Linked DNA regions of Xenopus tropicalis. The protein of the gene in region 1 purifies or fractionates together with the protein of each later gene. This does not show direct contact. Links are inferred from orthologs where the notes say so. Each region holds a gene or a part of one and is shown in the gene's direction. Other genes may lie near its edges.

Region 1 (5,961 bases):
CTTGGCCTTAAGAGGGACATGCTTTAGGATAAGTAACCCAATCAGCACTTTCCATGACACCATGTTTCTAACAGACCATTCTCTGGTTGCATTGTAGGAGCAGTTCTTGGATCACCAGGCTTTATTAATGTTTGACCTGCCCACAGTGGCCCCGATAGACATGGAGGACAGCTGGGTGACTTTCCAGGCTGAGGGGGAGCAAGGCCAAGATTCCTTTTCTAGCTCGGTTAACCTGGACGACAGTCTGACCAGCTTACAGTGGCTACAAGAATTCTCCATACTCAATGCCAACGTGGGTAAAGCACCATCATCTGGGGACTCCCATGGTTACAAACATCTATCCGGTGCCCCCTGTTCTCCTCTGGCCGCCGACCCCGCTTGCCTGGGCATGCCACATACCCCAGGAAAACCCATCTCCTCGTCCACCTCGCGGGCGTCCCACCTGGGACTCCAGCCAATGGAAGATATCGATTACAAGACCAACCCGCATGTGAAGCCCCCTTATTCCTACGCCACCCTCATCTGTATGGCAATGCAAGCAAGCAAGAAGACCAAGATCACACTGTCTGCCATTTACAAGTGGATCACCGACAACTTCTGCTACTTCCGACACGCCGACCCCACCTGGCAGGTATGTATGCGGATGGGGATGGCAAGACTATTATATACCATATATTATTTATACATTGCAATCTGTTAATATTCCCTCATAACAACGCGGTCTAACTTGCCTTTACCTTACGCCTGAAGCTGCTGTTGTAGTGCTGAGGCAATAAGGCACACAGTGGTATGGTTCTGCTTCTCTCTGCCTGTCCCCTGTGTATAATTACTCTGTGGTTCCGTGAACCTTGAGTTACTATTTTGCGCTTCCTACATCCCACAGCGTCACATGGCTCATTAACCCTTGCCGGCGGGAGCTGTGCATCCATCCCCGTCAACATTCTTCTAAAGATGAACTAATTAATTGTATTGAAAAGCTTAATGGTTAATGTGTAGTGCATGATAGTTCTCCCTTATTCAGGGCCATTGCTGTACATTGGTGTTTTATTTAGCTGGGTGTCAGCCCCCCCGCCCCGCAGTTCTGTACTTTCTGTGTGGCCCTGACACCCCATTGTTCTAAGTAATGGATTGTGAGTAGGAGGGTCCATTTGAGATTGGTTTATAGGGGGATCTTGTACAGTCAGGTGGGGTGGGGGGGGGTGAGCTTCCTGGAAGGAAAGAAAGAGGCCCTCCCTGCTAGTTTAAAGAACTTGTCCCCGATGCCCCTCTTCTGTGATGCTAATGACAGTCCATTTACTGCAGTGACATGTAGCTTATTTATATATACGTGTGTGTGTTCAGTAATTTGGGATAAATATGTGCTTGTGGCACATTTACATTATAAATATGTGTGGTCTGCAGGGCTTTTATTGAGAAGGGCTCTCAGACAAAGTTTCCTGGAGGCAGAAAATAAATCCTCTCCCCCCCCCTCCCTCCCAAGCCAAGTCTTTGGTGAGGTTTAATTAAACATTAGTGTAGGTGGGGGGGGGGGGTTACCCCGACACAGGTGGTTAGGATGGAAGCCGCTGAGGCAGGAATGATAAATATGTTTAACAGGCCAAGCAATAAGCATCCAGAGGAGAGTGATGAATAGAGAGAATGGATGGGAGGGGGGCTCAAAGACGAGCAGAGGAATTTGTTCCCCCCGCCTGTTAAACTTTATTAAACAGTAACTAGCGGATCAGGAAGATCCGGGATCCCTGGGGATTTGATGGCAGAAAGGTGGGAGATATCCTTATTTTAACCCATTTTTGCCCGGCGTTATTATTTAAAAGTAGAAAGCGTGATCTACACCCCCAGAATAGACACACATTTCCCATTCTGCTCCTCCTCTGTCCCACCATTCCCGTAAGCCAGGGGATTCTACAAAGGTCGCCCCTCCTTTTGTCTAAATAGAAGAGGCGGTTAAGGGGGAAGGTATTTGGGATGGCTAGGAATTGGAGAGGTCAAAGGAGGATATGTGGCTATAAAGTCAGCACGCTCAGCCCACTGGATCTTCCTTTCTCTACTATTTTATGATTCCAATCTTTTTGTTTTTAGCTTCCAACTCCCTTTCTACCCATTCTTCCCTCCCTACATCTGTATCTCAGACTAGGCCTGGGGAAAAACAAAAAACAAGGGCTTTCTCTGCCCAACTTGCATTATTCCCAACTCCATAAGTTTTCTCCATAAATTTCAGAATGATCAATTTTCATCTAATTTTCTTTTTTTCTCCCAACTAGAATTCTATTAGACACAACCTCTCCCTGAATAAGTGTTTCATCAAAGTCCCACGGGAAAAAGATGAGCCTGGCAAAGGAGGCTTCTGGAAGATTGACCCACAATATGCCGATCGCCTGATGAATGGGGCCATGAAGAAGCGCAGACTCCCGCCTGTGCAGATCCATCCGGCCTTCGCTAGCGCCCAGGCTGCAGCCTCCGGTAATAGCAACAGAGGTTCCCCCTGGCAGTTGAGCGTCAATTCGGAGTCCCACCAACTGCTGAAGGAATTCGAGGAGGCAACCGGTGAGCAAGGCTGGAATGCATTAGGAGAGCATGGCTGGAATGCCATAAGCGATGGGAAGTCCCACAAGCGCAAGCAGCCATTGCCCAAACGCATGTTTAAGGCCCCACGCCTCTCCAGCTCCCCTATGCTCTGCCAAGAGGAGCAGACTGAATTGGGGTCCTTGAAAGGTGATTTTGACTGGGAAGTGATCTTCGACTCTTCAATGAATGGGGTTAACTTCTCGGCCTTCGAGGACCTGGAAGTCACGCCTCCCCTGAGCCCAGTTACGCGCTCTGTCGACCTCACCGTTCATGGAAAGCACATCGACTGCCCACAGCAGTGGTACCCACTGGGACAGGACCAAGCGGTGGTCCAAAACAGCTTGGATTTTGATGAGACCTTCCTGGCCACCTCCTTCCTCCAGCACCCGTGGGAAGAGAACAGGAATGATTATCTGTCAAACTCTGCCAATATCGAACAGCTTTTTGATCTCAATGAGGAATTTCCCGCAGAGCTCAATGACTGGTCTGCCTTGGGCTCCTATATATAATGTTGCCATACAGGGACACAGATAGACACTTATATAAATAAATTTATATTTACTAAGAACTTTTATGAACATTTATGAAATCCTTTGCAGAGCAGAGGGTACCGATTCTGGAGTTTACACAGTTTGGGAATAGATCGGGTCTATCCCGCTGAACGCTCCTCCAGTGGCCTGAGCTGTCGGGCAGCAGATACGCTGGGCAGAAGACTGTCCCGTTCCCTCTGTCCATGATGAAAAGAACAGTACTTAAATAAAGAACCTTTTTGTACTTATTTTTCTAGGTATTTTCAAAACGAACTTAGGTGTTACCTCTGTATTGTGGGTAGGGCGAAATACAGACAATGTGATATCAGATGAGTCTGATGTATGATCACTTCTGGAATATGTGCAATGTGCCCTTCCCTCTCTCTTTCTCTCTTCCACAGGCCGAAGAGTTGCCCGTTATCTGTCTTCTAATCTTTTTTTATATAACAGCGGTAGAAATGGGAGAAAAAAAAAAACAGATAGACAACGAAAAAAAAACGAAAATACCTAAACCTAATGTGTTTAATGTCATTAGGAATACTGTTATTATTGGGGGGTGATTTCTTTTTATTTTAGAAATTTTAACCAGACACAACAAATCTAACTTTATTTAGCCTCCTATTGCCTGTCTTTCATTCCTAATCCCTTGTTACTGAGAAATCAGACAGAGTGATATCAAGATGTACAGGCTTGGTGTAATAATACCTTAAATATATATATATATATATATATAAAAACAAATATTCAACGTATATTTTTTTCTCAAAACCAATTTCTGTCGGCTTCCACATTGCCATAGACGCTGCCCTGGCAACAAAGAGAGTCGGGAAATAGCTACTGGGAGAAAAAGGTGTCCAGTAGTTTTCTCTTTTGTTTTTTTTCTATCTGAGGAAGGGAATGAGAGTGTGTGAGAATGCTTGTGTTTGAACAGAAAAGAAGGCAGCCAACAATGCAGATTTTATGACTCTGTTTATCTCCTGCCTGAATGGTTCAAACATTATTATGCAATTGCAATTGGGGTAGAAGGGTGACTGAAAAGTGGGCCACTGTTTTTCGGATGAATAAAAACGACAGCACGCTTGTATGAGCTTCCAAGTGTGTGTGTTCCGCAAATAAATTCATTTTTGTATAAAAAAAAAATACATTGGATCTTGTCTTGATTTGCTGTCATATTCAGTTGGGTGGTTTGGGGGGAAAATATGTACTTTGATCATTTTAAACGTTATATAGTCTCTTGCACTTGAATAGAGGGGAGTAGTGGCTCGCTCTACAGGGATTATACATCATTCCCATCAGTCGCTGCCCCAGTGAGCTTACAATCTAAGGTCCCTATCACATTCCCATCAGTCCCTGCCCCAGTGGAGCTTACAATCTAAGGTTCCTATCACATTCCCATCAGCCCCTGCCCCAGTGAGCTTACAATCTAAGGTCCCTATCCCATTCCCATCAGTCCCTGCCCCAGTGGAGCTTACAATCTAAGGCCCCTATCCCATTCCCATCAGTCCCTGCCCCAGTGGAGCTTACAATCTAAGGCCCCTATCACATTCCCATCAGTCCCTGCCCCAGTGGAGCTTACAATCTAAGGCCCCTATCACATTCCTATCAGTCCCTGCCCCAGTGAGCTTACAATCTAAGGTCCCTATGCCATTCCCATCAGTCCCTGCCCCAGTGAGCTTACAATCTAAGGCCCCTATCACATTCCCATCAGTCCCTGCCCCAGTGGAGCTTACAATCTAAGGCCCCTATCACATTCCCATCAGTCCCTGCCCCAGTGGAGCTTACAATCTAAGGTCCCTATCACATTCCCATCAGTCCCTGCCCCAGTGGAGCTTACAATCTAAGGCCCCTATCACATTCCCATCAGTCCCTGCCCCAGTGGAGCTTACAATCTAAGGCCCCTATCACATTCCCATCAGTCCCTGCCCCAGTGGAGCTTACAATCTAAGGACCCTATCACATTCCCATCAGTCCCTGCCCCTGTGAGCTTACAATCTAAGGTCCCTATCCCATTCCCATCAGTCCCTGCCCCAGTGGAGCTTAGAATCTAAGGTCCCTATCACATTCCCATCAGTCCCTGCCCCAGTGAGCTTACAATCTAAGGTCCCTATCACATTCCCATCAGTCCCTGCCCCAGTGGAGCTTACAATCTAAGGTCCCTATCACATTCCCATCAGCCCCTGCCCCAGTGAGCTTAGAGTCTAAGGTCCCTATCATATTCCCATCAGTTCCTGCCCCAGTGGAGCTTACAATGTAAGGTCCCTATCACATTCCCATCAGCCCCTGCCCCAGTGGAGCTTACAATATAAGGTCCCTATCACATTCCCATCAGTCCCTGCCCCAGTGAGCTTACAATCTAAGGTCCCTATCACATTCCCATCAGTCCCTGCCCCAGTGGAGCTTACAATGTAAGGTCCCTATCACATTCCCATCTGTCCCTGCCCCAGTGGCACTTACAATCTAAGGTCCCTATCCCATTCCCATCAGTCCCTGCCCCAGTGGAGCTTACAATCTAATGTCCCTATCCCATTCCCATCAGTCCCTGCCCCAGTGGAGCTTACAATCTAACCCCTTTCACACAAACCAGGGGTGGTTTTATAAGGAGCCAATTAACCTGCCTGTAGGAGGAAACCGGAGTACCTGGAGAAACCCACTACTAAGAACATACTCCGTAATAGTAATGTGTGTAATAGTATATAGTGCTCTGGCTCTGGCAAAGTTGTCCAAGTAACATTAACCTATAAACATGATATGAGCAGAACTGCTAAAGAATACCCCAGGGCCTCCTTAAGATGGATAGGGATGCCTACACATTGCCCTGCATTTCAATTATTTGAGTTTTCAGCTCTGTTGAGCTTGATTTAGCAAA
Region 2 (6,158 bases), on another chromosome or scaffold:
CTTCTTATAATCTTTTAAGCCCTCTTCATAATACAAAACATTTGTGTATCAGTACAGCCATAAGATATTGCCATGCTTGCAACCTAAGGTAGTTGGATTGAGTTGTAGTCCAGGGTCACCTGGGGGGCTTGGATGCCCAGCCCTGGTATAGACTTGGCAACAGAATGGGCAACAATTTAGCAAACATGCCACAGTTTTATTAAGGAATGTTTACTGTGAAGCTTCTGCTCAGTCTGCATTATTCTTTTATAGCAGCTCCTGCAGAACAGTACCTTCAAGAGAAGCTTCCGGATGAAGTGGTCCTAAAGATCTTCTCCTACCTATTGGAGCAGGATCTCTGCAGAGCAGCTTGTGTTTGCAAACGCTTCAGTGAACTTGCTAATGATCCTATTTTATGGTGAGTGGAAGCCCACTGTCTGTGGTGTTCTGTGTTACTGTTCTCAGGCTTAAAGATGATTTCATTTTCTCTACGGGGGTCCTTTCTGTTAGTGCAGATTCTAGGGGCGGGGGTCCCGCCTCTGTGGGCAGACCTCTGTAGGCAGGACAGAAAAATAATTGGTTTTCCTCCTTTCTATATAAGGATGGACTCCACTCCCTGATCAAGTTTTTTCTTCTGTCCTGTGGTTAAGATAGAGGACAGTTCCAAGTTATAGTTAATTTGAACTTAGCTTGTTTTTATTTTCTTTGAGGTATGCAGAGTTACCTCCCATGCAGTAGGAAAGCTAATGGCTGCCACTTAGGTTTAAAGATCCAAATACAAACTGTAGATAAATTGAAAATGCCAAAGAGGTTTTGGGTGTTTTTAAAAGTAAATTAAAAGGGGGCATATACCTTCCTGACAAGGTCTCCCCCTCTCGTCCTGCAAAGTAGTCAGCCCAAGCTTAATTACAGATGCAAGAGAGATCCCCAGTGCAAACTGTCCTTGCCAGTTGTACAGCAGTTATCGAACATAAAGGATTTATAATGCAGTACTTGCTTGTCAATATTACTTATTATAATCAATTGCACAAGGCATTTATATCCTGAGGGCAATGACACGCACAGCTACTTGTAGCTAGCTACAAAATAGATAACTGATAATTGTCTCTACATGTGTTTGCCATAGATAATACTGAGAATTGTCTCTGCTACGAGTATTTTCTGGCATTTTGTAGCTGTGACAAGTAGCACCATGTGTCTTAGCCCTTACTGCAATTATAAATGCCATAATTACATTGTTGGGATGAAATGACATTGTAAAGATAAGGATTTGCGGAAGTGGAAGATTCTGCTGACTGCTGTTGACAAGTTTATTCACTCAGACATAGACTTTTTGAATGTTTTCCTGTAATCTCAACATTTTTAGATGTCATCTGAAAGAAAAGGTTTTGTTTGCTTAAAAATGTTAAATATACAAATATAAATGTTATTTCTCTTTAAACAATCCGTGTATAAAGAACCTTTCTGCTTTACTCCTTCCCTCCAGTTTCTTCTCCATGGATAAGTAGTTTGGGACAGGACTTTTATTTTAGACAAACACACTTTCTTTTAGGTACTAAATTTGCTGTTTTTGGATTAAGCCAAATACCAAACCTTTGGGCAAATCTGGATTATAATTTGCATATGCAGATTTGTAACATCCTGTGGGGGAAAACAAATCTGCTAATCATGCAGAAAAAGTCCTTTAGTTTCTGTGGTCACATGGTTTTAAGGATTTCCCTTGACCCAGTCAGGGCGCTGAAGATCTGCCTCTAACAACCAAGGATGTCAGAGCTTTGTCCCTGACTGTAGGACAAACAAGGAGTGCAAATAGATGTTCTTTGGTGTCATTGTCTCCATATGGACAAGTGGATGTTCTCAGAACATACATTGCCTTATGTAATCCTCTGTGGATCAGGACATACTAGGTGTGTCAGGATCTCCTGGACTTTAAAGAACCAAACTTTAGCCAAACAGTTTTATAGGGTCCCTACAGGTCTTTGCAATATCAGGTACTCTTTGTCAGCAGTATACAGCAAGCCCCAGTCCCTTAACTTCCTTAAGTGCCTTAATCTTTTGTAGTGTAAATAGTTTAACTATTGGTATACCCCATGGTTCCTGTGTCCTACAAATGATTGAAAAGCGAACAGGTTAACTGTGAGAAACAAAATCACCTCTTCTATTTTTCATTAATTGCTCTTGTTTTGACCTTAGGAAACGCTTATACATGGAAGTATTTGAATATACACGTCCAATGATGCATCCTGAACCAGGGAAGTTCTACCCAATTAACCCTGAAGAATATGAACATCCAAATCCATGGAAAGAAAGCTTTCAGCAATTGGTATGGTCATAATATTTTTTTTATTTAAATGTATTAAGCGCCTGTTTGTTGAACCATAATTCTTTCTGCAAAGATTTAAGATGTTAGGGTTTTGGGTGTCTGCACAAAATAATTCCTTTTAAATGGATTTGTATAATAGCAGGAGAGATATAGGAGATGCATGGTAGGCATTTGTTTTTGCCCACTTTTAAGGTCATGCATATAACACACCCTCATTCTCTGTGACAGAGCCCCTACATTCATACAGATTTAGCAGTGAATTCAGTGTTAATAGACACTGCTTTACATATAAATATAACGAACCACCCTATAATCATACAGATTCAGACATCATTTTATTATATAATTCTTTATGTAGTATTTTCCATTAACTTTACAGAGATTTTGTATCAGTCTTACATCTCTCTCACATTCATACACACTAGGGCCAATCTAATCAATCAACCTGACTATAAAATTGCAAACTATATTGGCTACATCACTATGAACAGGCAGGCCTGGTGTGACTGTTAGCTGATGTACTGCATGGGCATCTCTCACCTAGTCAACTTCAGGTTAGACCTTTTGCATAAGGAATTATTGTTTGGGTCACTGGACCTGCAGCAATACAACTGAAAGAGCTGGCAGTGTAAAATAAGCTTGCATGTACAAAGCAAAAGTGTAAAAGCTGTATGTAAAGAATTAAATCAATCTCTGAGATAATAAAAGAATACTTGCCCTTTTTAATACTTTTGTTTCCCTGTTACAGTACAAAGGTGCGCATGTTAAACCAGGCTTTGCAGAACACTTCTACAGTAATCCTACAAGATACAAAGGCAGAGAGAATATGTTGGTGAGTTCACTGTAATTTCTTTGTAATGGTAGAAGATATTTGTCAGACACTAAAGATCTCCAATATTCCTGTTTTCCAGTATTATGATACTATCGAGGATGCTCTTGGCGGTGTACAGGAAGCACATTTTGACGGGCTAATCTTTGTGCATTCTGGCATCTACACAGATGAATGGATATACATTGAGTCCCCAATAACCATGATTGGTGCAGGTAATAAAACATCAGTGTTGAATAAGTCAGTTGTGTTTGTGTTCTCTGCAGATGCATCAGTTTGCATATCCGTTTTGCTGCACTTGCTTTTACATTTATTTATAGTAAAAGTAGTGCAGTAGTGAATGATTTGTTTATTTTTCTGGTAAATTCATATGCTTGTCTTGTACAGAAACCTGTGCTAATTAGGCTTACGTCAGTCGATTTGTACATTAAACGAAAGCAGCTTTCCTAAAGCTAATTTTACTGGAAACTATTTAGCATAAATATCTGTTAATGTCAGATGGTAGCATTTTTTTGCTCTATATATTTTAAGGGGGCTGTCAGTTTTAACTGATTGCCAAGTTTACAGCTAAGGGAAACATTGTCTTTAAGAAATATTTTCAAACCATAATGAAGGGTATGATAGTTCTGCATAATGCAGGCACATTCTAAATTATATTTTAGTTTATGGTAGTCATATTTTTTATGCCACATTATCTGATGCTGCCACATTTTAAATTACCTTTAAATAAAAATTGCTATGTAATCGCCAGAAATATAAAATACAGGTATGGGATCCTTTATCCAGAAACCAGTTATCCAGAAAGTTCTGAACTACAGAAAGGCCATCTTCCATAGACTCCATCATAAGAAAATCATTTTATAAAATTATTTCCTTTTTCTCTGTAATAATGTAACAGTACCTTGTACTTGATCCCAACTAAGATATAATTACCCCTTATTGGGGGCAGAACAGCCCTATTGGGTTTATATAATGGTTAAATGATTCCCTTTTCTCTGTAATAATAAAACAGTACCTGTACTTGATCCCAACTAAGATATAATTACCCCTTATTGGGGGCAGAACAGCCCTATTGGGTTTATTTAATGGTTAAATGATTCCCTTTTCTCTGTAATAATAAAACAGTACCTGTACTTGATCCCAACTAAGATATAATTAATCCTTTGGAGGCAAAACAAGCCTATTGGGTTTATTCAATATTTAAATGATTTTTAGCAGACTTAAGTTATGGAGATCCAAATGATGGAAATATCCCTTATCCGGAAAACCCCAGGTCCCGAGCATTCTGGACAGCAGGTCCCATACCTGTACTTACAGCCTAGATTGGCAAACTAACTTCTAAAATGAAATGTTACATTTTATAATTAGAAGTGTGATGCGTTAACCATGTGTGTTGTGTATAAAGCACTGCAAATGCGATAGTAATGTTTCCTTTGATTTGTCTACAGCACCAGGAAAAGTAGCAGACAAGGTAATTATTGAGAATACAAGAGATTCCACATTTGTATTTATGGAGGGATCAGAGGATGCCTATGTTGGTTACATGACAATACGGGTGAGTAGTTTATATTCATGTCTATCACAAATACTTTTTTTGCTATAATGTCTTTTGAATATGGCAAGCCTCATCTTTTAAGAGATTAAGTTGCGGTTGTAAGAAATCTGATGTATACTACCTGCCAGTGCCATACTGACCATAAATTGACTTAATTTGTTATAGTCCCAGAAACAAGGTTATTTTGCAGCTCATTATGAAGGTAAAATGTTTCTGATGTCAGTAAATCAAGGATTTTATGTATTTTTCTTATTTAAATATGCGTTACTTGTGGATGCAGCACAGCAAAGCCATACATTATTAGAGCAAATGGTTCCATTAAATAATAACAAATAAACTTGAATTTAACTATATTTGCTATTTAAGTGCTAAACAAGAGAATGCAGGTCTCTGCCCCATAGAGCTTACAATCTAAATATTTGGTTGAGACTCAAAAATGGTTACATATGCTGTTTATGGTGCTTCAGTGGTCCATTTGTTGGTCACACTGTTCCTCATCAGCACCACCTGCTGGTCAGTTCCTTTGACTGTCGGTTTGGTAGGAAAAGAGAACTCCCCTTGATCCACCATTTAGTGATGGGTTGTGTGCTCCTTCAGAGATCACATGACCAGAAATAATGCAGCTCTGACTGTAACAGGAAGTAGTGTGGGAGCAAAAGGCAGAACTCTGCCCATTAATTGGCTGATGTGACTTAGCATGTATGTGTGCCTTGGCTTGTTTGTGTGCACTGTGAATCCTATGATCCCAGGAGGCGGCCCTTAATTCTTAAAATGGCAGTTTTCTATTTAGGAGTACCCAATAGTACATACTACTAAACTATTTTTATAAATATGGTTTATTTAGATGAAGCAGGGTTTTACATATGAGCTTTGTTTATGCAAGATATTTTTTAGAGAGACCTACATTGTTTGGGGGTATAGTTTTCCTTTAAGCAGTGGTCCCAGCCATGAAGAGTTCCTTGTGTGGCCCTTGGCAGCTCCCTCTCCCTTTTGCTACAACACCTATGGTAACTCGTGAATTTTATCAAACATACAGAATCAGTGTAGGGTTCCACAGGTTATTAGAGACCTGCTGTGAAGGCAAACGAATAGGCTGAGTTTAACTTAGGCACCTGCCCGCTAAAGTGTTGCTCAGCAGCAGTATATTTTACTCTGCCTGACAGGGAATTTATCATCGGAGACTGCTGTTCAGCCACACAAGCACAAAGTACAGAGCGCGTGCAGGATTTTCTCCATTTTTTGTAAGGTGAAGGTTGTACATTTCATCTTTCTTTCAGTTTAACCCTGATGATAAATCAGCCCAGCATCATAATGCACATCACTGCTTAGAGATCACAGTAAACTGCAGCCCAGTCATTGATTTCTGTATCATTCGAAGTACTTGCACAGGTATTGTATATTGTGTTTTAAGGTTGATTCTCCTTCAGTAATGTTTTTACATTGACATGGTTAAAGATCCGGGTGCTAACCAC

The links. The genes of interacting proteins can lie anywhere in the genome.
Region 2: the proteins of foxj1 (region 1) and fbxo11 purify together in Homo sapiens (affinity purification with mass spectrometry; 3 studies listed by BioGRID and IntAct, counting the BioPlex papers as one, with this or other methods). This does not show direct contact. The link is inferred for Xenopus tropicalis from reciprocal best matches to the Homo sapiens genes FOXJ1 and FBXO11.

The regions. Positions count from the first base shown.
Region 1 is NC_030686.2:45,076,778-45,082,738, reverse strand, and holds the end of foxj1 (forkhead box protein J1), read left to right. Parts: intron 1-97; coding exon 98-631; intron 632-2,261; coding exon 2,262-3,074; 3' UTR 3,075-4,176; downstream 4,177-5,961. UniProt on the Homo sapiens protein: Transcription factor specifically required for the formation of motile cilia. Acts by activating transcription of genes that mediate assembly of motile cilia, such as CFAP157.
Region 2 is NC_030681.2:21,098,608-21,104,765, reverse strand, and holds part of fbxo11 (F-box only protein 11), read left to right. Parts: intron 1-252; coding exon 253-397; intron 398-2,172; coding exon 2,173-2,302; intron 2,303-3,050; coding exon 3,051-3,134; intron 3,135-3,213; coding exon 3,214-3,346; intron 3,347-4,579; coding exon 4,580-4,686; intron 4,687-5,963; coding exon 5,964-6,075; intron 6,076-6,158. UniProt on the Homo sapiens protein: Substrate recognition component of a SCF (SKP1-CUL1-F-box protein) E3 ubiquitin-protein ligase complex which mediates the ubiquitination and subsequent proteasomal degradation of target proteins, such as DTL/CDT2, BCL6, SNAI1 and PRDM1/BLIMP1.